2 linked regions of the Rattus norvegicus genome follow. The protein of the gene in region 2 interacts with the protein of the main gene of each other region in a pairwise test. Links are inferred from orthologs where the notes say so. Each region holds a gene or a part of one and is shown on either strand. Other genes may lie near its edges.

Region 1 (4,223 bases), about 20 Mb from region 2:
CAGGAAAGGGGTTTCTAGGAGTCGAACATCCAGTTTGCAGTGCTGCTGTGACAACAAAAATGAACTAGTGTTCTCCACGTCCTGAGATTTGAGACTGGCATTTCTCTGCAGAGCTTGGCTAAAGCCAAGCTGCCTTTGTCACCCCCACTAGCTGGCCCAGTCCTGGAAGCGGAAGCAGTCACTCGCTATCTTCCACACTGTGTTACTGGGTGACGCCTGAGCAGTCAGGATGAAGTTCTGGTTGAAGTCCCGCTGTTTGTTGCCCTCAAATTTCACTGTTCCACAGATGACCACAAGGACCGTGGTCTGGCTTGGCGTAGCTTCATCATGAACAGGCTGGCAGTCTACCACGTTGATTTGGAACTCACTGGAAGGCAACATCTCAAAAAACTCACTCAAGGATTCTTGTCCCGAAACGGCATTTCCATTCCATACTAAAGTGGCCGTGCCCATGTACAGGCGAGACAGCAGCCGCCGCCGATTATCCATAGTAGTGTAGTAGACGTTGACAAATTCCTCTGCAGCTCTGCAGGCCTGGTCCACATAGGTCTTGAAATCTACTGATGCCATCTCTGGGTCTGCTGCCAGAGGCCTCTGCCAGAATGCCGCCTCCTTAGGGATCCAGTGACTGTAGGACAGCAAAGGTAAAGTGAACACAAGTGAATATCAAATCTATTCTGCTCTGGCCAAAGTTTTCTTTCAAGTTTTAATTTTTAAAATAGTATTTGTGTGCATGTCAGTTTGGTACATGCCATGGCTCATTGAAAGTCAAAGGTGACCAGGCAAAAGTCCTCTCTGCCTACCCCATGTGGGTCCTAGGAGTCAAAAACTCAGGTCGGTAGGTTTGACAGCAAGCACCTTTAGCTACTGACCCATCTAGTTCCCAACCCTATTTTTTCCATAGATAACATTTGCATATTAAAGGCAGATGACTTCAGGCTCAGACTCTTGCCTATTTATTTTAAAGGCAGGATCATGATACACACACACACACACACACACACACACACACACACACACACACCCAGGATCAAAGGCATACAGATCAGGAATGGTTGCCTATTAATCTTTCTAATCCTGTTTCATCTTCAAAAAATTGATACCTAAAGACTGCTCTTTCCTGAAAGCTTGGAGAGGTGTGATTGTCCCCAGGCAACCAGGGTGTGGCTAATCTTAGTAAAACCAGTGGCTCCTGCTGAAGGGATGAGTGATTACTGACCCAATAAAGTGTATCAGAGGGAGAGCAGATGCCCTTCCAGGAAAAAAACTACCACGAACTAACACAACAAGGACCCAAAAGATGCAGGGAACAGCATATTTCTTAGGGGAGTGGAGGACAGTGGTTACAATTCCTATAAGTAAACCCAAGACCGACTAAATTTACCTCTTCAGCATTAATGCCCACCATGTAAGACCAGAGGGGCCATGACACCATAGCAGAAGGCTCTAGAATGAACAGATTCTCAGGGAGAATCTGAAATACCATAGTTCAGATGAAAGTTCCAACACATAAGCAGCATGTTTGTTTTTTCATAACAGGTATGGCTGTTAATTTTTCCTATGATTAAAAAGTTCCACTTGAAAGAACCCAGTACTGACCAATATTAATGAAAATATTGGACACAAGTAATTTATATTATTTTCCAATTTTCAGAAACAGGTCTCTACAGAGTAAGCTTACAACTAAGTTGGGAACACTTTTTTTAAAAAATTCCATTTCAAGAGCCTTTATTATTTTGAGACAGGGTCTCTTATATATTTCTGGCACGTCTATGTAGACCAGGCTGGCCTTCAACTCAGAGATCTGCCTGCCTCTGCCTCTGGTGCTGGAAATAATGGTGCAGGACCATGCCTGGTCCAACTTTTCTTTTTTACAACTATCAGTTTATGAACGATGATTCCACACAGAGCAAAGCTGGTCCTATAGATGAACTCTGACCAGCTTGATATTGCTCTCTCCAAGGTCCTCAGACTCAACAATCAATCTGAAGTGCTATTTGCTTAGCATTTTAGGTACATTCCTTCAATCATCATTGCACAAATCAATGTAACAACTTACAAAAAGAGGTTACGATCTTGGATGCTTCATTCTAGGAAAGCAAGGGAGTCGGCGCCATGCTCACTAAGTTCCAGGATTTTTTAAAGCAGTTCTATATAAAAACAGCTCTAGGGATGCTGGCTTAGCAATGTTCTCCCAGGTAACCATATTTCTCTGTCCAACCACCTCATCTCCGCTTCTTTAGGCCACGATGCTTCATCCAAACACGGTCTAACATTGGTCACGCCCCCCAAAGATGATCACCCCCATTTCTGGTCCTCAGCTACACACAGATCCCAGTCATCTTTCTCATTTCAGGAAAAAGCAGTAAGACAGAAATATTGTAGAGCGAGAGCCAGAAAGATGCTCCACTGCCGTGGTTCACACTGTAGTCTCCTGGAGCTGGAGCTGGACCCTAGAAACGGCAGCCGTGCCCCGGGCCTCATTTCCAGCTTTGAGTCGCTTCTTACATCCCCAAACTGCTGCTCTCCTCCAAGTATGGCAAACTCACCGCCACTGTTCTGCACAGGCTGCAGAGACACCACGTGGGGGAAAGGACAACACCCATGTCTTATTGAGTCTAAGAGAAGGGAAGAGGTCCCTGGTACCGCGGCGTTGTCCGACGGCCGGAGCACAGCCAGGCAGGAGCGCCCACTTACCTGCTCGGTCTCGGTCAACGTCGCCTAGGCGACTCGGCCCCGGGTCCCGCCCGGGCCGCGGTCCCGGGCCAGAAGAGTTTCTCTCTTGTTCTCCTCTTCCTCCTAGAGGCTCCGCCTGAAGAGCCGACGTCCAGGAGGCGGGGAACGGTTAGGCGCCGGTAGCAGCTTCCCGCGCGCCGCGAGCCTCACTCTGCGCAGGCGCTAGCGTCTCGGTTCCTGCCGGCTCCCGCCTCCCCGCGACGGGCAGCTACGGGAGCCAGTAGAAAGACTGGCCCCGCCCAAGTGTGGCTGCAAAATCAGGGTGGCTTCCGGGGTAGGCGCGAGCCCAAAAGATCCGATTGAGCGAGCTCTGATTGGACGGCGTGGAGGAGGTGGAGTTAGCGCGCTTAGCTGTGGAAGGTTTGGTTGGTGAGAAGTGTCCCGCTGCTGCATCTTGCTCCTCTCCTGTCTGTCTTGGCTTTATATCCTGTGGAGACTCGTGGAGCTTCAACGTGGAGCTTCACTGGTTGACCATATCTAGGGAGACAGCAACATGGCTTCAGTAAGGCTCTGGACTGAACCCAGCAAGCACATAGATGCCCGTGTAGGAATCCGAGTGAAGGCTAAGTCTGAGAGAGTCTGTGGAAGTCCTTGTGGTCAAACATCTTAGCTGAGCGCACCCTTTCTAAGGTAAAACTACTTAGAGTCGGCATGCAGATGAACTTAAAAGAAATAACAAATTTAGTCAAGTGAAAAGAATTGAGGTCGAAGACGCGGAGGAGGAGAGAAATAATGGTAGTTTACTTTCAGTGCGGTGCAAATTGAGTTCCCTACAGGCTCCAGCTGCGGCGCAGTTCCACCTCATTTAAGGCGCCGCAGTTTGGTTAATCTGGAGCAGTCTAGATGCTTAGCGAAAGAATGGAGCCATTTCACATAGGAACTTGGGGAACTGCCGCGCGTAACAAAACCCAAAAGGCTAACTTTCCTAAGACCCGACTCTGCGTCATCTGCCCCGCTAGGAGAGCCTTTGGAAGTGGCTACGTTCAATTAAGTACTTTAATCTGTATTTTGTTAGCAACCTCTTGGCTCCTTTTGCTCATGTTACTAAGGGGGCATTTGCTTTTAGAGTTAAGAAACCAGAATGCCTGTTCAATATAGGTTACTTCCCACTGGAGTTAAGTGTGACAAGTTTTCATTATTTAAAGAAATAAGTTGGAGGCTGAGTTTTGAGGATGAATAAGTGCTTTTGGAGCAGTAGTTACACAAAAATGCTCTGTAAACCTGGGCTTAAAACAGTGATAGGTCCAAGGACTCTTCTTGAGAGAGAACTAGACCTTTATTCTTTCAATAGCCCTTGAATTTGAGATTAGAAATACCTCTGATTCTAAGGGACTGAGCACTGTCACGGTTGAGAGTATTAGTCAAGGTTCTCTGGGGAATAGAATGAAAAATCTCTCTCTCCTCTGTCTCTCTTTCCCTACTACCTCATAACCCCCATATTAGTCAGGGTTCTTTGGAGTCACAGAACTTATGAAATGTCTCTCTAT
Region 2 (4,160 bases):
GTCAGAGGAGGGTCTCTCTAGCTACAGCAGATAGCATTGTGAATTCATGCAAAGTCAGCCACAGTGCTGTGGCAAGGAGACTGAGTTGTTAGGCAAACTATTTATTTATTTATTTATTTATTTAATTTTTTGTTTTTTTGAGACAGAGTTTCTGTCTGTAGCCCTGGCTGTTTTGGAACTCAAGAGATCCACCTCTCTCTGCCTCTCCAAGGGCTGAGATTAAAATGTCTGTGCCACTACCACCTGGCTAGGGTTTTTTCTGTGTGTGTGTGTGTGTGTGTGTGTGTGTGTGTGTGTGTACTTTTGGGGTAGAGATGGAACCTAGAGCCTTGGGTATCTAGCTATGATGTCTACCTAGGTGCTTCAATCACAGGCATCACTTAAAATAAGCCGCAGAGGATCCCATAACCTCTGACAAGGATCCCATCTTTCTAGTACTAAAGACCTCTCTCCCCTGCCTCCCATAAGAGGGCTGTTACAGGGCTGGAGAGATGGCTATCAGTTAAGAGCAGTTATTATTCTTGAAGAGGACCTGTCTCACAACTGCCTATAACTCCTGCACCAGGCAGGAAGTGACAGCACTGGACTCAGTGGACACCTGAACTCACACGCTCATACATACCATGCACACTCACACATACACGCACACGCGCGCAAGAAAATTAAGAAAACCCAAGAGGGCGAATAGAAAAGTTACATCATGAGTGGGAGATGGAGCTCAGTGCTAGAAGTTTGCTTCAATCTCCAGGACCACATCAAAGAAACCAACACCAGCCTCTTGTCCACAGAAGCACACTCAGTTTAGAGCTCCGTGAAAGCAACCAGAAAGTACTTGGTGCTTGTCTTAAAACAGAATCAGACTTCATTTACTGTGCTTTCCCCAGTAGAATGTAAACTCCATGAGGGCCGGGACTTGTGCATTCTCACTGTATTTTCAGTTTCTGACCTTGTACACAGCAGCAGGTTAACAAATGTTAGTATAGGAAGAAGGAGTGAACGCAGGAAGGAAACATAAAGCCTGGACAAGAAAGGAAGTTAGGCCTGCTTTCCCTGCCGAACCGGAGCTCCTGGGAAACTACAACTCCCAGTACACCTTGGACTCAACGCAGCGGTGCCTGGCCCCCGTTGGTCTTACGTGCCTAGAGAGCGCATGCTGGACGCGGCGCCTGCTGGGACTTGTGGTTCCTGCCACGGTGGGGGGGGTGGGGCCGGCATGGAGGCGGGCGGGGGCCGGGGGCGGGCGCGGCCCCTCCCCCGTCACTTCCTGCCGGGCTGCAGGCGCCGAGCCACTCTTCAGCGTTTGCGCTGGCTGTCGTCGCGTCTGTGTGCGCTCCCCCTTCTTCTGACCCCCGGCCCGGCGGCGCCCGCCTTCTCCGCAGCCACTCCGTCTCTTCCCTCCCCCGGTCTTTTTTTCCTCGCCCTCTTCTTTTGCTTTTCTTCCTCGCCGCCGCCCAATACCGCCGGCCCCGGGACGAGCTCTGGGGAAGCAGCCAGGTAAGGCGCTCGGGTCGGGCCGGGCCGAGCAGCGGAAGGACCCACGCAGGCACGGCGTCAGCGGGAGGTGGGCGGCGGGTGGGCTAGGCCTCGAGGGCGCGGGAGCTGCGGCCCAGGCTCATCTCCGCCCGCGGGGCCTTCCCGGAGGAGGCGGGCCCTCCGCGCTGCTCGTGGGCCCAGTGCGGGAGTTAACGCGGGGGTCGCGGGCAGGGGCTGGGCCGGTCGGCAGGCCACCAGGTTTCGGTGCTGTGCACAGTGTTGCGGCCACTGCGGAGCTGTGGGATAAGGTGCCAATTCCCGGCTCTGTCCCCTTAGCAAGTCACTTCGTACTCTTTGTGTCTCTGTTGTGAGGGGGAAAAGGAGGGGGAAGAGTATTAATCCTGTCCCAACCCCGTCCCTGCCTCTTCAGGCTGTGAAGTTGCAGTGAAATGGGGCGTGTAAAGCGCTTATCAGTGTGCCAGACCCACACCGTGTCCCAATAAACCGTTTGCATAATTTATTAACGTGGTATGAAAGTATAATTTAGGCTTCAGACTGGACAGAAGTTGACCTACCTTCCCATTTGGGTTTTCTCCGAGGCAGAAGAATCCCTCGTGCCCACTGCCAGTGCCTGGGCATTGTGCTTGCTTGGCACCAGAAAGGGGCGCGCGCTTAATGGGGACACTGTAGCAGACAGGTTATGGATGTAAAGCCATCCTTTCTGTAGAACCAGTTTCAGGCACTTCACTGGCTCCCGTAGGCTCCGCAACCTGTCCCATGTTTCCTTGCCACCACCCAGAACGTTATTGTCATTCCTTTTTATGAGAAAGTTGCTGGCATAAGCTCCCCTTGGGTTCAGCAGACCTTTTTGGAGCCCTCTTGTGTGTCAGGTTCTGGAGGTGGAGTATGCAAAGATGCTAAAACCGTGCTTTCTTGGTCCACATCTGTAGTTCTTCACTTTCTTTAGCTGAGCTTCGATTTCACTCCCGGTACCTATCCGTTTCCCTTAAACTCTGGCCGCACCTCCGTCCTTGTGGCAGTATTGCTGGTCTGAAGCTTTATCTTGTACCCTTTTGCATTTTGCCCATGTATTGTGTGCCTTTTAAAGGTCACTATTTTCAACTGCTTATAGCTGAAATTCTGTTTCTGTTTTTTTGCTTGCTTGTTTGTTTTTTTCTGAGATGTGGTTTCTCTGTGCAGCCCAGGCTGTCCTGGAACTTGCTCTGTAGCCCAGTCTGGGTAACTGTAATTCTTGAGAATTGGAAGTGTTGGAAGAGATTTAAACTAGGATTTTGGTCTTTCAGGGATCTGTGCTTACCAAATGCAAATTACATCACTACTTGTTGAAGTAAAAACTAAAAATACATTTGGGGAGTGTGGAGGGAGAAGTCTTGGTCATTCTAGTGAACTTTTAGTAGACTCTTTATTCTGACTCAGCCTTTCTCTTTTCTTTAGTAAGATTAAGTACTCTTTTTTTTTTTTTTTTTTTTTGGTTCTTTTTTTCGGAGCTGGGGACCGAACCCAGGGCCTTGTGCTTCTTAGGTAAGCGCTCTACCACTGAGCTAAATCCCCAACCCCTTGTTTTTGTTTTTAAATCTGTGCTTAGTGTCATAGGTGTCCTCCTCCTTAAAGAAACACAGCTGGTACAGGAGCAGATTTATAAGAGCAATTCAGTGTGTGTTTTCTGTGCTCAATGCTCTTCTACATGGAGGCCGGAGGTCAACTTCTGGTGTCTTGTCTTCCTTGACGGCTCTCTACCTAATTTCCTGGAACAGACTCTGAGGGTTGCTGCCTTTCCTGGGCTACTCATCTCTTCAGCCTCTCGGCAGATTGTTTTAGGCAGTAAGTTTCTTTAATAAGTGGAGAATGTTTATATCACACCCATCTGATATTGCATGGCTGTGTCTGTGTTTTTGACATCTTCCTAGTGTTTTTGTAATGTCAGGAAATAGTTTCTAGCGTCCATTGTTGAGTGTAATGGCTTTTCTCTTTGTTTGTTTGTTTGTTTGTTTTGGATTTTTTTGTTTTTAGAGACCAGGGTTTCTCTGGGTAACATAGCCCTGACTGTCCAGGAACTTGCTTTGTAGACCAGGCTGGCCTTGGACAGAGAGGTCACCCTGCCTCTGCCTTTGGAGGAGTCCTGGGATCAAAGGCATTCAATATTTGTCTGCTTTTCAATTAGTCATTAATAGTTCAGGAACTGTTGATTCAGTCCTTAAGGAGTAAGGCTGAAATCTGGGCTGAAAAGTGGCATTCTCCTAGAGAAGGGGAGTCCGCTAATTCTGCAGCTGTTTTCCTGCTGTGTATTAATCATATGTCAGCCAAGAAACCAGACCCCAAAAGAAAGAAAAAAAAAAAAAAAAAAAAAAAGAGAAAGCGCAGTCAGTTCTAGTATACAAGAAATGTCATTTCATTGACAGATTAACAGTCAGCCTGATATGACCTGGTTAAAGTCAAAATGACTAAGATTATGATAGATTTAGGATTTGTTTTCAAAACAAGCTAGTTTAAAGGAGGGAGTTCAAGAAGAGACAAGATGGACCTTAACTATGAGTTAATAATTATCAAAGCTGGGTGACCAAATACACAGTGCCCTCTATAGCATTCAACTTTAATACTTAAAAACAAGACAACTGGGGTTGGGGATTTAGCTTAGTGGTAGAGCGCTTGCCTAGCAAGCACAAGGC

Evidence for each region.
Region 1: the proteins of Stau1 (region 2) and Nxt1 interact in binary tests that used the Homo sapiens proteins (3 or more experiments, as listed by UniProt). The two-hybrid records come from large-scale screens. The link is inferred for Rattus norvegicus from reciprocal best matches to the Homo sapiens genes STAU1 and NXT1.

The regions. Positions count from the first base shown.
Region 1 is NC_086021.1:156,560,701-156,564,923, reverse strand, and holds the start of Nxt1 (NTF2-related export protein 1), read right to left. Parts: upstream 2,804-4,223; 5' UTR 2,698-2,803; intron 629-2,697; 5' UTR 571-628; coding exon 148-570; 3' UTR 1-147.
Region 2 is NC_086021.1:176,142,102-176,146,261, reverse strand, and holds the start of Stau1 (double-stranded RNA-binding protein Staufen homolog 1), read left to right. Parts: upstream 1-1,314; 5' UTR 1,315-1,494; intron 1,495-4,160. UniProt on the Homo sapiens protein: Binds double-stranded RNA (regardless of the sequence) and tubulin.